Linked DNA regions of Stegostoma tigrinum. The protein of the gene in region 2 interacts with the protein of the main gene of each other region in a biochemical or structural test. Links are inferred from orthologs where the notes say so. Each region holds a gene or a part of one and is shown on either strand. Other genes may lie near its edges.

What was found.
Region 1: the proteins of D(2) dopamine receptor B-like (region 2) and neuronal calcium sensor 1 form a complex in vitro, tested with the Homo sapiens proteins (2 studies listed by BioGRID, with this or other methods). The link is inferred for Stegostoma tigrinum from reciprocal best matches to the Homo sapiens genes DRD2 and NCS1.

Annotation. Positions count from the first base shown.
Region 1 is NC_081382.1:34,886,366-34,896,365, reverse strand, and holds the start of neuronal calcium sensor 1, read right to left. Parts: upstream 4,843-10,000; 5' UTR 4,735-4,842; intron 4,047-4,734; exon of another isoform or gene 4,028-4,046; intron 2,890-4,027; exon of another isoform or gene 2,798-2,889; intron 1-2,797. UniProt on the Homo sapiens protein: Neuronal calcium sensor, regulator of G protein-coupled receptor phosphorylation in a calcium dependent manner. Directly regulates GRK1 (RHOK), but not GRK2 to GRK5. Can substitute for calmodulin. Stimulates PI4KB kinase activity.
Region 2 is NC_081385.1:7,594,068-7,604,725, reverse strand, and holds the start of D(2) dopamine receptor B-like, read right to left. Parts: upstream 4,748-10,658; 5' UTR 4,742-4,747; coding exon 4,601-4,741; intron 1-4,600. UniProt on the Homo sapiens protein: Dopamine receptor whose activity is mediated by G proteins which inhibit adenylyl cyclase. Positively regulates postnatal regression of retinal hyaloid vessels via suppression of VEGFR2/KDR activity, downstream of OPN5.

The DNA.
Region 1 (10,000 bases), on a different chromosome or scaffold from region 2:
TACCTGCATCCACCACTTCCTCTAGCAATTCAGTCCACATACAAACCGCCCCGTGCATGAAGAAGTTGCCCCTCAGGTCACTTTTAAACTTTTCCCCTCTCATCTTGAAAATATACTTCCTAGATTTGAACTCACCCACCTTAGAAAAAAGATCTTTGCTCTTCACCTTATCTATGCCCCTCATGACTTTATAAACATCATTCAAGTCACCCCTCAACCTCCTATGCTCCAAAGAGAAACGTCCCAGCCTATCTAGCCAATTTTTATAACTCAAACCCTCCATTCCCAGCAACATCCTAGGAAGTCTTTTCTGAACTTTCTCCAGTTTAATAATATCCTTCCTAACACAGGGTGACTAGAACCACGCACAGCATTTCAGAAGAGGCTTCACCAACATCCTGTATAACCTCAAATTGACATCCCAACTCCAATGCTCAATGGTCTCAATAATGAAGGCAAGCATGCAAAACGCCTCCTTAACAATCCTGTCTACCTGTATGCGATGGCACCTCAAATGATGTAAACAGTTCTTCAAAGTTGTGATGGTCACCACATCTACCATTCTTTCACGCAAAGAGTTCCAGATATCTGCAACCCTCCGAATAAAAAAAAATCATCCTTTAATCCCTTCGACAACTCCTGCCATTTACCTTAAATTTAAGTCTATTCCTTCAAAGTGAGCAGTTTCTCCCAAACTACTCTATCTGATTCATGATTGAGCACGTCTATCACATTTCTTCTTACTCATGTGCTTCCTAAAGAGTGGTACCCAGAATTGGTCACAATACTCCAAATTGAGACTGAAAGTGTTTTAGAAAAGTCCTCCAAACCTTCCTTGCTTTTGTAATCAGCTTTTATAAAGCCCAGGATCCCAAATGCCTTAGTAGCCTTCCTCAACCAGCCTTGCCATCTTCAACAACTTGTGCACGTTTACCTACAGACCTCTCTTCTCCTGCACCCCTTTTAGGATTGCATCATTTCATGTTTTATTATATCTCCTCATTATTCCTATCAAGTATATAACATTAAATGCAAACTAATGTTTTTAATCATCCATTTTTACCCCTGAAGGTTGCAAGATATCTCCATGGACAGAAGCGGGGAAATGGGAATTAATACAACTAATTACAGAGAGGCAATGACAGACCTCTTTTTTGAAGATCATGTTGGATGGGTAGATCATTTGGTTGCTAAGTACTTAAAAGAAAACTGCATTACGGGTGCACGATGTTTATCCTTCATGATTTATTTAAGAAAGAAGAGAAACTAAATTTAACCCCTGGTATGTACTGAGTGAAGTAATCTTATCTATACAGAGGACACAACAATTAGTTTGTTGTTGTTGGACTTAGGTGAAAATGGAAACAACAATCTAATAAAACATAACTGAAAGAAAGAGGGATTTTGGTTAGCTACAGCACATTCTGTCACCATGGCAGGGTGAAAAACAGCATGTTGGAGAAGTCTACGGAGGAAATACCTAAGGTATGGTGAAGATATTAACTTTATAACTTACACAGAATGGAAATTAAACTGTGGCAGAACCCAAAAGTCAGAGAACTATATGTGAAAAGAGGTAGTTGATATCAGATGGGTTAAGAGCCTAGGAAAAGAATGGAAAAGGGACAAGGATTTCAAACGTTCTACATTTAGGAAACTCAGAATCAAATGAAAAGGATGGTGATAAGTTAATGAAACTTAGAGTAGTATAGAGTGTGGCCATGAAGTTGAATAATCCTTCACAATGTCATGTCAAAAGTGCAGGTATTGGTTAAGGCAAAGTTATGCTGAAATGAAAGGGGCAATAGCATGAAATGAAGGCAGGCAATATTAAAAACCTGGAGTGTCCTGCCTTGACATTCAATAAAATATGGGTTTAAGGCCAACTTAGAGTCAAATGTTCTATTCAACCACCAACTCAGATGCTAAAAGAATTAAACTGCATGATCTAATTACTGACCTCGAATATTTGCAATACAGCAGCCAAGTGCATTTGGCTTATCACAATCAACATTGGAAAAAATATTTGGCAGTTTTTCTAACTTCCACTGTTTTCCTTCCAATTTTCCCATCCATCTATAGGTATTGATCCCTAACACCATTCCATGGAAACATGGACAGAGTTTCCCTACCTTTTTTTTAATTCATTCACAGGATGAGGGCGTCACTGGCTAGACCAGCAATTATTGCTCAACCCTAACACCCCAGAGAACAGTTAAGAGTCAACCACTTGCTGTGGGTTTGGAGTCACTAGTAGGCCAGACCAGGTAAGGATGGCAGTTTCCTTCCTTAAAAGGACATGAGTGAACCGGTTGTGTTTTTCCTGACAATTGACAATGGTTTCATGGTCATCACCTTAATTCCAGATATTTTTAAAAATTGAATTGAAATTCCACCATCCACTATGGCAGGATTCAAACCTGAGTCCCCAGAACATTACCTGGGTCTCTGGATCAACAACGTAGCAATAACACCACTATGCTATCACCATCCTAATATTCAACATAAGGAGTCCTGGCTGGCTGACTGACTGCAGAGAATATTTCACAGCTTCAATGATTCCAGGTCTTAACCAGCATTTACCAATTTCCATTAGGACTTGTATACTTTTCAGGAATGATCAGTTCTCTTTTCTATAACTAATAATTCACTCAATCAACCTGGGAGTTCTGAGTGCTTATGACTGTTGAAATGAAGATTTATCTTAGACCCACCCAAATTACTTTTCAATAACAGGTACCTACATATAAAATGGATAACGTACTCAAAGGTTTCACAGCAAAGTGCAAGCAGATACCTTTTCACAGTTCCCAGAAAGCCTCTGATCTTTTCCACGCATACCCAAATTGCAAAGCCTGCAGCATCCTCACTCTAGCACTTCAACACACTCTGTAAACAGTAGAATTTGAAAGCATTATAAATACTGCAGAGACCCCTAGAGTGAACCCATAAATGGTACACCAATTTTAACTTCTGGGATTTCCCTTGTGGGGTTGCAGATTTCAAATCTGCTTTTAAGGCCATTGATCATGTAAAAGTAAGAACTTTCAGCCAATTCACACTACTTTTTAGCATTCTTAATTTGTAACATTTTTGATAAGCTTTGCATTAATGACAGAAAGTTTACTGCACTAATCCTTGCATTAATATCTATGAATGCATGACCACTTAAACTCACTACCATGTATTCTAAAACAATATTTCTGAAATTGCATGCAAGACATTTTGCTATATAGCACCACTGATTGATCACTTTTGTACGCAGACCAATACAACAGAGAATGAAATGTGCCATTCTCTCATCATAGTTGTTGAGCCATTAATTCTGATAATCCAAATAAAGCTTGACGTAATTGCACAGCAGTGTTATTTACTCAATGTGAAAATTGATTTTAATCGCTAATTTTAAAGTTGAATTCAATATACTTTGTTCATCAGCATTTTTACTCACACACACTAGTAATTCTAAATCTCAGATGCTATTAATTTTAGTTGAAAACCAAAACTTCGTCGAAGTATCTCGTTCTTAGAAATAACCGTTTAACGAAGCGGCTTGTGGTTATGTCATTCAAACCGTAAGACAAATTCCAGCCTTCTTCTGATGCTGACAGCAATGTGGCATAGACAGTGCAGACAAAGAGGAAAACCTTGTCGCTATAAATGTCAACACCTTCCTCCCTACAACACCAGCACGCTTAAAATCAGACCTTGCAACGAATAACAGGAAAGACGTCGGATTTCTCATACAAAGAGAGGGACAAATTAACTCCTAAATTAAAAAGGAAAGGAAAATGACAAAATACGCATCGGCATCTGGGGGAGGGGGGGGCGGTTTGAAAGAGTTAGAAATCCAAGTTCGTATCCAGAACGGCGGTTTATCCACGCTTTCTGGAAATCACTACCCAACACCCACTGTAATTGTGGAAGGAATACTTATAAGCCTCCATCCATTTAAAAAAAAATAGGATTTTAAAAATTACACGCACAAAATATGAAGACAATACAACCCACTCACTAGTTAACGTACCTGATTAAAATGAGATGTTTCAGAACTTAACTACTGATTTCCAAATTCGCACATCGAATAGAACCCCCCGAAATGAGATTTTTCGCCTATCCAACTTAAATAAGAGTGTGTGAAATGTGGTATGAGTAAATACATCAATTACGTGCTTCCCGGCAGGTTCGAATCATGAACCAGAAAAACAAACCACCAGTATGCTCCAAAGTATCGCAAAATACATCAAATGAGTGACTCCTACGTGAACCCCTCACATTTTTTGTCGTTTTTTTGTTGCCGAGATGCTTCGAAACTTGCTCAAAAAATAAATGACACGCACCAAACAAAATAAGACTGCACTCAAACAGGAAGAGGGATAATGGAAGAAAAAGTTTCCAACGTTTTTTTTAAATTGCATCTTCACAGAGGGGAACAAGGTTTATTTTCTCTCATTTTGTCTGCAGGAGGGAGTGTAAATCTCAGACTAACGTACCTCCCTCCCTAGCAACCGCAAAGCTTTCGCGTCACTTTCCACCCCCCGCCCCCACCCAAAATTCCCACAACTGTGATGGGGGGGTGGGAGAGAGAGGTGGTAGATGGGTGGGTAGGGAAAAGAAAGAGAAGCACCGATCATCAAATATCATTAATCGCACATGCCCTACTATGCAGGCCAGATCTACTGAATCCTGCCCAGCTATTATTAACCCGCACGGCGTGTTTATCATTCACCTCACCTTTCAGGCCGGCGCTCCCTCCGCCTGTTTGAATGAAGCGGAGCCGCTTCTCCCACAACAACCGCAGCGCCTGCACGCGCATCCGCCAGCGTCGGAATAGAGGCGGGGCCTGCGCCTGACGTCTTCGCACCGCGTGCCCTGGCAGTGACATCATTCTGCCCGCCCACCACGAGCGACGCCGGGTGTCTGACAGGGAAGTGGGAGCTTCTCAGTAAGATCATGGCTGACCTGTGGCAAAGTTCCTTAGGCCCGCTTTGGGTCTATCAGCCTTTGGTTTAAAACTTGCCTTTTCTCAGATTTAAATTTAACAAGCAAATTAGCATCTATCGCTGTTTGAGGAAGAACTGCAAACCTCTACTGCTGTTTCCATTATAGAAATGCTTTCTAACAACTTTCCAATTCTTTGACTCTTTGTGCCAACTGGTTCAGTATCTTCAGCCAGTGGAAATAGTTTATCTTTACCCTGCTAATATCCCGAAGATCTCAATTAGATCAACCCTTTAACCTTCTAAATTCTACAGAATAAATAATTTATCTCATGTCTACTCAAATTAACCCCTGAACCAGGTATCATTACGTGTAAATCTACCTTGGACACCCTTCAGGGCGAAAACATCCTTTCATATAACTGCAGCATTATATCAGCTCCAGACCTCCAAATATGAAGGACAGCATTCCATTACCTTCTTGACTACTTTCTGCATCTAATCGTGGCATTGTACAGTTAAGCATCTGAACCCCCAAAATCTCATTGGTCATCCATTGTATTTAACTTTGTGCCTTCTAATAAATTCCCTGAGCTATACTTTTTCAGTCTGAAATGAATAACGTCACAATTGCTGATATTCAATTCCATCTGTCAACCCTGCCCAGCGGTTTTAACCCTCCCCCCTCAGCTTTTTTACCCCCACTGATTCCCCTCTCTTATTCAGTGCACTTGTTCTATGTATAATGATGCCAATACAAGATTTATAGTTTTGGATATAGATTTATTGGGTGTTTATTTTTACTTCAGTTCCATTCAAGGTTAGTGCTGCAACTTCAAACGTTCTTTCATTCCAGCTATCCAGTGTCATTCTCAAGCCCTCCCAGGTCAGATGCAAAGTAAATCTCTGATGTCATTAGAATTAGAACATTACAGCACAGTACAGGCCCTTCGCCCCTCAATGTTGTGCCGACCTGTCATACCGATCTGAAGCCCATCTAACGTACACTATTCCATGTACGTCCATATGCTTATCCAATGATGACTTAAATGTACCTAAAGTTGGCGAATCGACTACCGTTGCAGGCAAAGTGTTCCATTCCCTTACTACTCTCTGAGTAAAGAAACCACCTCTGACATCTGTCCTATATCTTTCACCCCTCAATTTAAAGCTATGCCCCCTCATGCTCGCCGTCACCATCCTAGGAAAAAGCCTCTCCCTATCCACCCTATCTAACCCTCTGATTATTTTATCTGTCTCAATTAAGTCACCTCTCAACCTTCTCTAACGAAAACAGCCTCAAGTCCCTCAGCCTTTCTTCGTAAGACCTTCCCTCCATACCAGGCAACATCCTAGTAAATCTCCTCTGCACCCTTTCCAAAGCTTCCACATCCTTCTTATAATGCAGTGATCAGAACTGTACGCAATACTCCAAGTGCGGCCGCACCAGAGTTTTGTACAGCCATGTTAATTGTATTAAAATAGCTGAGGATGATGAGATGAAGTTAAAGATGAACCTTCGAGATTTTGTGAGCTCAATGTAATAAATACAGAGCAGCAAACAGAAAAGTCACATTTTAACATGTAAGTCAGAGGGCATAAAGATCAAATTGTACATTGCTGTATCACACCTCGTTTCAAGGCTCATATTTAGTTCTGGTCACCAAAAAACAGGCAAACTCAAAGCAATGTAACAAACAGCCCCAAGCTGATGCAGAACCAAGAAATAAAGCTCTGTTGCAAGGAAAAGCTATTCATTTCTTTCTTTACATCATTGCAAAATAACTTGGATTTTATGTTCAAACAAATGTATCGATGCATTTGCAGACTGTTGTCTTTGTAAAAAGTAGCCTTTAGGGAAAGCATCTTACTGATGAGCTCGCAAAGATATACCAGATGTTTACAGGCAAATTACAGAACATGAGTTTAAATTGAACTGTGAAAGGCCAAGTTAAAATCTGGATCTCCTTTTCACCAGAAGTTATTATGATATGGATTTCTGGGCAGAAAAGCAATAAAAAACCAAGGAAACCTTAAAAAATATAAATGCTGAAAATATAAAAAAAAGTGTCTTCTGGGCTGAGATGGGAAAATACTGTAATTATCTTATGTTCTCCCTTTTGCCTGAAAATGCATATGAAATTTTCAAGCTCAGAATAAATTTAATATACCAGTGTCGACCTCACTGATTGATATTTGCAAATTGGAAACAATGCTTTGTTACAGCCAGAATAAACTCATTGAGAATGTTCAAACTCAGTTCACATTTTGAATAGAATATATCCTTATGGCTGTTTATTGTGCTTTATTGCTCTGTGAATCAGTATGCTAAGAACTTGCAATAATGTTCTGCTTTAAGATGGGGGACATCTCAATTCTATTGTAATATAGCATTTATTTACAACAACTGGTACTCAGTCAGAGCAGTAGTCCAGCTTTGAAGCACAGTAAAATGTGTTCAGTTTGAGGAAAACAAAAGAGTGGAATACAAACCAATCTCAGTATTGATATCCGTAAGTTACATACAGGTTACAATGAATTCCTGACATTTATTAAAGTATTGATGTGCAACAAGTTATACTCAGTATAATATCAAGCCTTCTGTCTATAAAGCTGTAAAGTAACTTCAGTGACTACTTTCCCCTCCCCCCATAAAATATACTTTATTCCTAAAATTTGGAAAGGTGTACTTCACAACATTAGATAGAATGAACTACATCAGGTTTTCTTCAATACAATCACAGGGTGCCTCATCACATGTACCTTATCTGGTTATATTTATAAAGGACATTTATATTTCATGTCTTACATTCTCAGGGGGATACAGCCATCCAGTTTTACACCTGGAAGGTTTCTAGCCTGGATAATATGACAAAGGGGATTTGGACAGTGGTCTTTCCCCATTGCATTAGTCTGTCTATAAGCACATGGCCATGAACCTTGGAAAATGCCCTTTACACTGAAAGATCTAAATGTTTTCGGCCTATCTAAAAGCATCTTTCACTGAGTTGATGGTCCCCTAATAGATGTTATGTTTGTTTCCACATGTGCATCCAGGGGCAGCTTGTAGAGCGCAGGGTCCTACATTGCAGATTTTTTCAGATGAACCACTTTTCATCCTCTTTCCAGATCTTTCCAAAGATATATTCACATCATGGGAATCCCTTTGATTTGGCGGGCAAGATGTTGCAGTGCAGCTACATCCCTTGGAGTGCTGACTGTCATTTCACTAGACTCAGCAGTCAGTCATTCTAAATTCGTCACTTTTAGACCAGTTCTTTTCCACTTGCTTATCCCTTACCCACCACCATCTTTTGTTATTTGAAATTGTTTGCCTCTTTTATTTCCATTCCTCTCCTCATAACATTGACCCTTGTTGGGTAAATTCCCAATTTTACCAGCAGTTATCAGGTAACCTGTCCAAAAGACCAGCATTTATGTGCAAATTTGGCCACTGTATGTTTACTACAGAGAAAAGAAACTAATTAAGACCATGAGAAAAGAAACTGTAATATCTAATGTTATCTATTTGGCCAATAGTCAATCCCAAAGCTTCTCTGACACTGATAAGACCTAGAAGATATAGTAGCTTTTACACTTCAGGAAAATAATCTCAAATCACCAGTGATGTTACTGCTTTCTTTTATTTAAACTGCCTTGATGAGAAAAATGAAAGGCAAGAGATGGTTTCAGGGATTTCAAAACTAATTTGAGGTATTCAAAAAATGTGTGATCTCAGTCCCACAGTAGCAGTTCAGAATCCATATTTTAAGCTCCAAGAGTGAAGGCAAATTAATCAATATGTAAAGGTCAGGTGATACAGTCTTGGGTTCTAAAATTCTGTTGATGGTACAGTAGAGAGCGGACTGCAGGAGATGAGAATTGCACTTTTGAGGTACAGGAAAATAACTAAAATTCAGACATGTATGCTGATTCTAAACGTCTTGAACAAAATCATCTGTAAAAATAGGTACTGTCTTGTAAATTGATTTTGATAATTTTCTTCCTGAACCAAAATTTAGTGGACACAGTTATAGAGGTGTTTATGGAAAACACATGAAAAATTACCAAGACAAGCCCCGCATTTCTAACTTATGATGAGGTTGAGGTTGATTCCTGTACATTGAGGAATCAATTTGGAAATTTAAGATTAACTTTCAACACATATGCCTTATCTCCCAACTTTGCCTTGGTTCTAGCCGTCCTCTGAGTTGTTAATTAATGGGAATGGCTCTCCCCACAATGTAACAAAGATGCAGATTGGCTATATAACTCAGGGAAACATTTTTTATTTCTTCATAGTGAAACCCAAATAAGATTTGCATGTAACATCTTATTTACTGGTGATAATTGTGTAATGCCTGGGAATAGCATGCTACAACACAGTCAGCAAAAGCAAACAATAAACCACAAAGATAATAAAGTGTGAAGCTGGATGAACACAACAGGCCAAGCAGCATCTCAGGAGCACAAAAGCTGACGTTTTGGGCCGAGACCCTTCATGGGGGGGGGGGGGAGGGCTCTGGAATAAATAGGGAGAGAGGGGGAGGTGGACCGAAGTTGGAGAGAGGAGAAGATAGGTGGAGAGGAGAGTATAGGTGGGGAGGTAGGGAGGGGACAGGTCAAGGAGGTGGGATGAGGTTAGTAGGTAGGAGATGGAGGTGCGGCTTGAGGTGGGAGGAAGGGATGGGTGAGAGGAAGAACAGGTTAGGGAGGCAGAGACAGGTTGGGCTAGTTTTGGGATGCAGTCGGGGGAGGGGATGAGCTGGGCTGGTTGTGTGATGCAGTGCGGGGAGGGGGCGAACTGGGCTGGTTTTGGGATGCGGTGGGGGAAGGAGAGATTTTGAAGCTGGTGAAGTCCACATTGATACCATCGGGCTGCAGGGTTCCCAAGCGGAATATGAGTTGCTGTTCCTGCAACCTTCGGATGGCATCATTGTGGCACTGCAGGAGGCCCATGACGGACATGTCGTCTAAAGAATGGGAGGGGGAATTAAAATGGTTCGCGACTGGGAGGTGCAGTTGTTTATTGCGAACCGAGCGGAGGTGTTTTGCAAAGC
Region 2 (10,658 bases):
CGGGTCCAGTGACTTTTTTTCACAACTGAAGAACTCATTCTGAAGAAGGGTCACCTGACCCAAAACATGAACTTTGTTTGACTCTCCATAGATGCTATCAGACCTGCTGTGTTTCACCAGCAAGTTCCGTTTTTTATTTCTGATTTCAAGCGTACACAGTTCTTTGGGCCTTTTCTTAAGAGAAGTGGCAGGTCTGCTCAAACCCCTCAAGTTGTAGGAACTCCAGGAGAACTATTTGTTAACCATTTGCAGGAATTGTAACCTGAGTTGTGGATTTCAAAACCTGAGTAATAGCTGACATCTTTGTGTTGCATCTGAGCAGCTAAAGCAAATGCAGGGAGATAGGCATTTGTTTAACTAGAGACAGTTTATTGCTTGATAGCAACAGATAAAAGAGGTGTTAGTAAGTCGAAAATTGAATACTTTCCCAAGCCCAGGTGAGACATATCCAAGATGGGGAGAGTGAGGCCAACACAGAGGAGAGTGCCCAGCAGGACGTGACTGAGCTCAGCGTAGTAGCAATAGAGATCCCCCAGCATCTATGGCAGTGGCGGAAGCAGGTAGCCCAAGGTCTCCCGGTAACTGTGGCAACGTCAATCACAGGGGAGATTGAGCCCAATGCAGAGGAGATCGAGCTCAGCATAGAGCAGGTTGAGCCCTTGTGGGGAGTGGAAGCCCAGCATTGCTAAGCACTTAAGATAAATAGCAATGTTGAACTTTTAGCTTTATTATTCTATTTTATACTAAGAAGGACTTTAACTGTGAACTTTTAACTATATTTCCTTATTTTTCTGTTTTATACCTAAGATTTTGTACCTTGGTACCTTTCTACCTCAGATGGCCCTGGGAATATCAACATTGTACACTTTTTGCTGTACTCCTGCAATCCTGTACCTGAGTACATGTGACAATAAAATCTAATTCTAATTGGTTGAGGCATTGAATACAAGAACAGGGAAGTTATGATGGAATTGTATAAAGTTATCTGGGCCACAGCTGAAGTACTATATACGGTTCTGGTTGCCAGGCTTTTGGAAGGACGTGATTGTACCACAGAGAATGCAAAGGAGATTGAGAGATAATGGGAACTGCAGATGCTGGAGAATCCAAGATAACAAAGTGTGGAGCTGGATGAACACAGCAGGCCAGCATAAGATGCTGCTTAGCCTGCTGCGTTCATTCAGCTCCACACTTTGTTATTAAGGAAGATTGAACCAGGATATTGTCCGTGCTACATCATACATAGAATGGGGGGTGTTTTCCTTAGAACAGAGATGCTGAGGAGAGACCTGACTGAGATGTATAAAATTGAGTAGCATAAATATTGTAGAGAGGAATAAACATTTCCCATGAGTAAATGGATATATAACCAGGGATTATAGACTTAATATAAAGTGCAAAAGATTTAGAGGGAGTTTAAGGAAAAACTTTTGTCTTTTTACCCAGAGGGCTGTATCTGGAACTCACTGCCTGAAAGGGGGGCAGAGTTGGAGCATTTTAAAATATTTTGGTGAACATTTGAAATTCCATAATGCACAAAGCTATGGACTAAGTGCTGGAAAACTGGATTAGAATAGTTGGGTGCTTGATAACCATCAGATATGAAGGGCTAAACGGCATCTTTTAAATGCAGTAAAACTCAATGACCTCCAACTGTGCAGCTTGGCACTGCACTGCCAAGGCAACCTAGGGTCAGGCTTAGGTGCTTGAACTGGGGTTTGAATCTCTAAGATTTTGCCTTTAAGGTTAGAGTGCAGCCACAGAAGTAACATTGATACACACTCAAAAGTCCCTGGTTCTGTCAAGGATCCAAGACGAGGCTTTGAATGGAGATATTGGCAAAAGAGCAAGAGAGAGATAAGGATAGTGTATTTCCTTGTGTATATTTAAGGCTGAGATGGATGGATTTTTGATCGACTGGGGAATTAAGGTAGGTGGGGAAAGGAAGGTAAGTTGATACAAGTGCCACATTGCATCAGTCATGATACTGTTGGATGGTGGAGCAAGCTCGACAAGCTAAACACCCTACTCCTGTTCCTATTTCTTACGGTCTTGTTGTCTAGTGGTGAGTTGATTTTTACACAGCAAATTATTAGGATTTGGAAAACACTGTCTGAGTGGCAGCAGATTCAGTAATTTCCTTTCAAAAGATGTTGTGTAATTACTTGAAGTGAAAAGGATCACAGGCCTAAGGAAGGAGAACAGGATAGTGGAAATAATTAGTGGCTTTTCCAAAGAGCTAGTACAGACACTGTGAGCTGAATGGCCTCCTTAAAGTGTTTTATGATTCTACGATTGAGAGCTGCAACATCAGTCATTTTAAGCCAAATTAAATGGAGAAACAAAATCTAAATGGATCCACTTTACTGCAATAGCAGGCAATGAATCCACAGCAAAGGGCATTCTGCAGTGGACAGAAATTCACATCAATATCTGACAGAGCAGAGACAGAGAGCGAGTGAGAGAGAGAATGAGAGTGAGAGAGAGAGAGAAAGAGAGAGAGAGAGAGAGAAAGAAAGAGGGAGAAAGAGAGAAAGAGAGAGAGAGAAAGAAAGAGGGAGAAAGAGAGAAAGGGAGAGAGAGCAAGAGAGAGCGAGAGAGGGACAGAGCTGATTTTATGAAATACCAGACGTTTGAAAGTGCAGCTAGTGACTATAAAGAAATCATTCTGCTGTTGCAAGTGTGTCATAAAGATAATGGCAGGGATGTAGATTCCTGACGGTGTGGTATGGCATGGCTCATTTAAAGTATACGTATTGTCTCCCTTATGATGGATTGGGAAGAGTGAATAAGTCAAGCTTTGCAAGTAGCGTGACAAACTTTAACACACATCGAGCATCAACAGCCTTGGGCTCCAGGAAACTAAAGAAGCAAAACAGTCTGAGGCATTTTCACAATCTCATTTCCAACTCCCCTATTTCTTCAAATCACACCATTATACCAATGTGCCCATCTGAAACTCCTACCCAACCTCTTCGAACAGAGATGATGAACTATTATGGTATGAGGAATTCCAGGTGCCTGCTTTAAGTATTCTTATCCCTCGTATAATCATTGTTTCCGAAAGAATGCTCTCTCATTAGAGAGATGATTGATGGCGAGTTTAAGCTGGGGGTCATCATGCCTCAGGCGAGGGAAGATATTGAGAAAGAGAGTCCTTTAGGGTAACCTCAATTGGTTCAGGAACTGAACATTCTGTGTTGCAAACCAACCAATTAAGCTAACTGAGTCCTTTAGAGCATGTTTACTGCTCTGCGCTGACATTACATTAACTCTGCTGTCCTTGTCTCAGCCATTTGGAGGTGACCAGACATGGTTTGCCATCCCAAATCATTTCCCTTCTGAGAGGGAAAGTATGGCTTCTCATTCTCCCACCCAAAAATTGACAGTTCACTAACATTCCCCCACTGTCACTGAGCCTCTTGCATGCCATTATGAATCCAATTTTCCATTTTAGCAGCAACTATACTTAGAAATTAAGCCTCCTGATTTGTATCTTTACTATTTCAATCCAGCTGACTCCCCCTCTCCATTATAACAAGGTGTAGAGCTGGATGAATACAGCGAGCCAAGCAGCATCATAGAAGCAGGAAGGCTGATGTTTTGGGTCTGGACCCTTCATTTTCTGAAGAAGATGCAGCTTGGCCTGCTGTATTCATCCAGCTCTACACCTTGTTATCTCAGATTCTCCAACATCTGCAGTTCCTATTATCCCCCTCTCCACTGCCTGATTTTAGGCTCAACTCCCAACCGGGATCTTAATCATTTAATTTCGGTCTGTTGCCTTGTTAAGGGAATGCTGCAGAGTCAGAGCTGCTGTTTTATAGATGAGATATTAAACTAATTAAGTGCAACTTCTGATCGTTAAGGTGGATATAAAAAAAAACAACATTTTTTGACAGCAAAGAAAATGTTGTTTCCTCATTTTTTTTGCCAACATTCTTTCTTCAAGTACAGCCACTGCCAGTTACACAGTCATTTATCTGATTGCTATCTGTGAGATCATGCTTTTCATTTGTCAGTTTGCGCTTTACCACAGGACAACAAGACTAGACTTTATTTTATTTGGAATCCATCCACTTTGAGATGTCTTCAGTGCTATCAAAATCCAAGGTTATGCTTCCCTTGAGATCCTGTAACAGGAGACTTTCTCACGAAGCGTCACATGATACAACAACAGACCAGCTAATCCTGTGACAAATGGCAGAATATTACAAATTCTGATAGAATGTCATCCTTTGAACTCTCAGGTTAATTTAGACAGTCTCAATACCCAAGCAAGGATGTTTCAGATGAGTTTACAATGTCCTCCCATGTGCCCTCTCCATATCTTTCAACTTAACGGTGCCAAAGTTTTCAATTGACTTACAAGTTAAAAATGTACATGGTTCTAGCTTGAAAGCACAAGCCATTCATGGAATAAATATAGTTCATTGTGGGACACAGAACTTTATACAATCCCTGTAACAGGAATTCAAGTGAACCGGTGGTTTCTCGTTTTGAAAATACAGTTTTTAAATCTACGTTCACCCATTAAACATCTCGGAAGACATGAACCAAGAATATTTTTAGAATGCATCATTGCAACAATATATTTTACCTTCTCTGCTGTCTTTGGCCTGATGGTCTGAAGTGAGAATAAAGGCTTGTCCTGCACCAAAGTCTCCATGTACATTTTCCTTGTGACTCTCAGAGAAAGAGATGAAGAGATCATCGATTGCAGTCTGGCATTGAAAAGCATTGACAGTGTTTCAAACAGCCTTTGCTCTATGTAACTTGCTGCCTCTCCATTCCCTCTCATCATCCCACCCCCAACCCACCTCCTCCCCCACCTTCTCCAAAAGCAAACGCTCGCCTGAGAAAATCATGACATTACGCTAAGGTCAAAGTACATCTCCAGTAATGCCATGAACTGGAACTGTCAGCTAAGGGAATACAATGTCGCTTTTCTTAAAAGCTAACTCTAATATGTATTGATTTTTCCATATCAATTTTACTCAGTGGGAAGCATTAAAGAGACAGCATTTGGAAATTACTGTTTTTGTAATATTTGTTTTTCTTCTCTAAGGAGGAGAAACAGTGAAAGGGAGCTTTCTGCAGTTGTTGCATCTACTGTTTCTGTTAAGCGTAGGTTTAAAATCTTTCTCTGCTCTAACAGAACACATCACTTTCATGACAGCACACAGAGGTGAACTATTGCCTTGTCCCATACCAGCCATCCTAGAGATCTCTGGCATCAGAAATGTTCACCGAATATTCTCTGCTATGAATATTTGTACAAATGTTCAAGGAAGTGTTATTTGACATCTCAAAGCATTCACAATCAATTAAGTAAATGTATTGAAGCACGCTTAGTTTTGTACAGTTAAGGTAAAAGGTAAAGCTACCCAGTATTCTCATTAGAGAGAGACAACTGGTGTTGGTTTAACCTGAGGATTCCTATGCCTCAGGCAAGGGGAGAGGTTGTGAAGTCAGCGCCTTCATTGTAACATCAGCCGGGCCAAGAACTGAGCCCATGCTGTTGGTATCATTTTGACAACCAAACCAGCCACTCAGCTAACTGAGATACTAGGAACTGCAGATGCTGGAGTATCCGAGATAGCAAAGTGTAGAGCTGGATGAACACAGCAGGCCAAGCAGCATCCTAGGAGCAGACAAGCTGATGTTTCGGGAAGGGTCTAGGCCCAAAACATCAGCTTTTCAGCTACTAAATTGCTGCTTGGCCTGCTGTGTTCATAAAACTCTACACTTTGTTAACTCAGCTAACTGAACTGTAAGAAACATTGCGCACCAAGGACATCTTCCCTTGCTCTTCTTCAAAAGTACAGCCGTTGGAATCTTCCTGGTGTGAAGAAAGTGACTGGGACCACAGATCGACATCTTACCATCTGATAGTGCAGCACTCCCTCAGTGCTGCTTTGGATTGACAGACTAGACTGTTCATTCAACTCCCTGCAGTGTAACTTAAACTGACTGACCTAAGAGGTGGGAATGTTACCAATGAATTATCGATGGCACTTAGAAGTGAGATTTGATTAAGAGTGGTCAAACTCTTTATCAATGGTGAAGAGATTTTAGTTTTGACTTGCAATAGGATTCCGACACTGTATTTTCACCCAAGTTACTAAACTTGACGTACAGACTGGATATGTTACCTGGCCGAGACACACAACATACACGGCAACATCTCCCACTCCCTGGTGTGGTGTAATTGAAAGAATATTGGGAACATACATTACAGTGAAAATGAAAAATATGAACAATCCAATGTCATAAAAATTCTAGTGATTTAAAATGGTACCTTAAGAATCTTGCCACTGAGCAGTGACCCCGCTTTTTCTCAAGCATTTTTTTCAACCTTTCTCTCCTTTGCTGAGAAGCTAGAAAGCACCGAACTGCAAAAGATCAGGAACCTTGAGGCTCCCACTTGTCAAATGCTATCTTAGCTGCTACTCAACATCTCCCTCACTATAACATCCCTGCACACTCCATGGAGACCATCCTTCCTGACCTTTCATCCACGTCAGCTGGCATCAACACAACATCATACTCATCACAACATAATGCCTGCTCTTGGAACAACTCCCAAGCCACCTCAATCCTTCAACAATTCACTCTAGAGGCCACTTGTAACAGTGGGAAGCTCTGAACGTTCAAGGAGGTTGGCATGTCACCATGTGCCACTGTGCTACACCAATGTAGTACCTGAGTTTGTGCCAGCGACTTTTACAGCAGACTTACTGCGTGGGCTTCAACTGACTGAGGAGATGGTGGTGTAGTGGTAACAACATGGGACTATAATCTCGAGCACCAGCTTAATATCCTGCTGTTGTGGTTTCAAATCTCACATAAGATATAAAATAAATTAAAATGCTAGCCTAATCGTGACCATTTAACTATTATTGATTGTCACTAAGAAAACAATCGGCTCACTGATGTACTCTAGTGAAGGGAAACCTGCCCTCTTTTGCCTGCTCAGTTCTTCATGACTACAGACCCACAGCAAAGTGATTGACTCTCATTTGTCTTTTGAATAGTTAGGTATGGGCAATAAATGGTCAACAAAGCCAGGATTTTATGAATTAGTTAAAAAAAAGACAATGCCTGAAAGTCAGAGGTGAGCAGTCTTATGTGAGGGGATGGGAATCTATAGACAATCAAATGACTTGTTTTATTCAAACCTAAAGGGTTAGTCACAGTCAATAAGATGCTTGGTCCTACTGGAGTCTGGGGATCCATATCTTTACAGCCCTAGGATTGGGCCAAGATCAGGCCTGCAGGTCAAGTGCACGCAATCCAGGGATTACAAGTAGATCAGCTGAGGAGCCATGAAGACAACACTCTGTGGCCATTTTTTACAGCAAGAAAGCAGTGGAAGGACTGGACTATGACGAAAGTAAATACAAGAACCATCATCATATTTTCTATAAGCTGGAATGGTGATGAGGTATCCCCAGTGAGTTGGAAACACAAAGTCAGGAAGAGTAAGTGGTTAGGGTGGATGAGATGGGGGAAGTCTTTGAGTAGACATAATGCATGCAGCATAATACTGGGCACTACAGTTCAGGAGTCTTGGTGTGCAGTGACAGACTTAGAGTCAGAGGTGGCTCAGTGAGTGTGAGATGTCAGAGAGAAGGCGGTAGCCCTTGACTTCGCAGATTGCAGAAGATCATTGATCATTCTCCTGCACTGCTGAGCATCCCAACTCCCTCCTAACATAGCTCTGACCTGGGCTGCAATCTGTGCCCAGGCTTTCTGTGCGTCTGGTTGCATAGCCTGGTGTGGCAGATGGTTGAGAAAAGGACTTCCACAACACCAAGATCTTCAGGTTGCTGTCTGTGAAGCAGGAAGTCAGTCTTCCTTCTCTCTGGGCGATACGCTGAACGCTGAAGTTCACACACCACAGTGCGATGGACAGTTCTGGGCGAGCAGTGTTGTACATGGGACTGTGCAGCTGGGCTTTAAACATGAACCTAGCCATGTGAAAGCTGCAAAGTACTGAAAGTAGCAAACACTTTCACTTCTCTGGCTGTGCCGTCCCCCTGAGAAACATACCTGAGAGGCCGTTGCATCATTAATGAGGTGAAGAGCGTATGATTGTGCAACAAAAGATTGAAAGATGAGGCAGAATGCAGGAAAGAGATTGCATGCTTAGCGCCATGGTCTGTCCATCAGCATTAGGAAAATGAAAGAGCTGGTCATTGGCTTCAGGAAGTGGAGTGGAGGACATGCTCCTGTATGCATCAATGGTGGTGAGGTTGAAATGATGGACAGTATCAAGTTCCTAAGAGTGATGATCACCAACAATTTGTCCTGGTCCAGCCACATCAATGCCACAGTAAAGAAAGCAAAACAATGCCTCTACCCCTCAGGGGGCTAATGAAATTCAGCATGTCCATAAAGGACTCTTACCAATTTTTACAGGTGCACCACAGAAAATATCCTATCCAGATGCATCGCAGCTTGGTATGGCAACTGCTGTTCCCATATCCGCAAAAAGCCACAGAAAGTCATGAACACAACCCAGTCCATCGTGCAAACCAGCCTCCCATCCATTGACTCCATGTACACTTCCCACTGTCTCGGGAAAGCAGCCAACATCATCAAGGACCCCTCCCACGCCAGTTATACTCTCTTCCACACTGTTCTATTGGGCAGAAGACATAAAACCTTGAAAACAGGTACCACCAGTTTCAAGAACAGCTTCTTCCCCACAGTATCAGACTTTTGAACGGACCTTTAAATGTTAATGTTGATCTTTCTGTCTGCATCTTCTCAGCAGCTGCAACACTGTATTCTGCATGCAGTTCTGCTACACTGTTGCTATTTTGCACAGAACGATCTGCCTGTATACTGCGCAATGCAACAGTTTTCACCGTATCTTGGTACATGTGACAACAATAAATTAATCAAGGAATCAATCAATCAAAAGTAAGTTTGAACTATACACAAACAAAACAGTTCATTGGAAATTAGGAAAAAACCTACCTTTCGAAACAAACATGATCATTTTCTACCACATTCCTTGAACAGCATCTGATTCCATTAGATTATTACCTTTGTTGGGTTTGTGCAGTGCTCACTCACTGCTGATATACAGAAAGGTGAACGTATCTTATCTAAATATGGCTGGTAACTGTCAGAACTACTGCCAACAGTGCGATCTCAAACAATTGTGATTATAACCATTCAAACAGACCATAGACAAGACCGATGTAATATCTTATGTCCTTTATAGTGTTGGAGGAGAATGATGTGCAACTTTCTTCACACAGTGAGTAGTGAGGTTATGGAATTCATTGCATGGAAATGTGGTGGGGGCATTCAAGAGATGCTTCAGATGGTTTTCTACATTTCCTGTAGTGCAGCTCAACATTCCCCTGCTTCATCAATTCGCTATTACCATAGTTATGTTAAACTGGGTGCATGTAAGGAGAAAGCCTTTTTACTTAATTCAAAAAAATAAGCTATCAATCATGGAAAACAATGAATGTCTCACAGGGAATGCAAGGAGGTAATTCAGTTCTGTGGGTTTTACTGAAAACTGTAGTTTTGCTTTCACAATTGCTGATTTCATCAGGGACACGCGATTGAGTTAGCGTCATGCGGTCATGCAGCACTGCATCGTGCATTGTACAACTGTTTAAAATGGAAGGAATCTTTTGTACAGTACTCTGCCATTATACGATTTGTCTTCTTTAATTATTGTGTTTCATAGTTAAACTAGTAGCCTAGCTGACTGGATATTGTCAGTGCTGCTAAAGACAAATCTAGCTACAGAACACACATTTCCCTCCACTCGATTTATTATGCATGATGAGACGGCACTTTAGTTCCAATGTTGGTGTGAGAAGCCTTTGCTGTATTCCGCATATAAACTAAGCAGACAATTAAAAGTAGCACTAATGTCAACACAATCTTTGCAAGATTGTCCATTGTGTCATTGGTTATGTTGGTCGAATGATTGCATAATGAAAAGATTGATCCTGAGCTGACTTATGACAGCATTCAAACTGGAAAAAGCCATTCAATCTTTCGAGCCTTTTCTGTCATTCTAATTGATCAAGTGTGATCTGTACATTGATTTCATTAACTTGCCTTTCCTCCATAATCTTAGATAGCATTTGTTAACAAATATTTTTCAGTTTCATTTTTTGTTTCAACTGACCTGCAATCTTTGAAGGATTAAGTGAAAGAGTTCTAGTGTGTAAAATCAAAATTATGCTCTTTTGTTCTGTCTTCTCTCACCAGCTAATTGAGAAGTCATTTCAACAATTTTCATTGTGATGGTGGGTGAATTGTTTATACTGCGAGAATGTTATTTGTCAATATTTTCTGACAATACATACAGCTGCAGAAATTGTAGCAAATATAGACCTGAGGGTAAGAATTTCTCTGAATTTCTCTCTTGTCCTTAATCATCTGAGAGCTGCTGAGTGCTGTCCTTGCTGCTGGCTTCGTTATTATTTCTTGTTTTTCCAAAATGAACCTTTGATTAATGACCATGGAAAAGCATAAGTGGTTGGCTGGACTATGTTAGAAGTTTGCTTGTGGAGTAGGGGGAAACATTGTAAGCAGAGAAATCCTGAAGGATTGAAGAAGGAACACTTGTGATAAATGCAAAACCAGAATCAAGAACTACATAATTAAATAGCAAC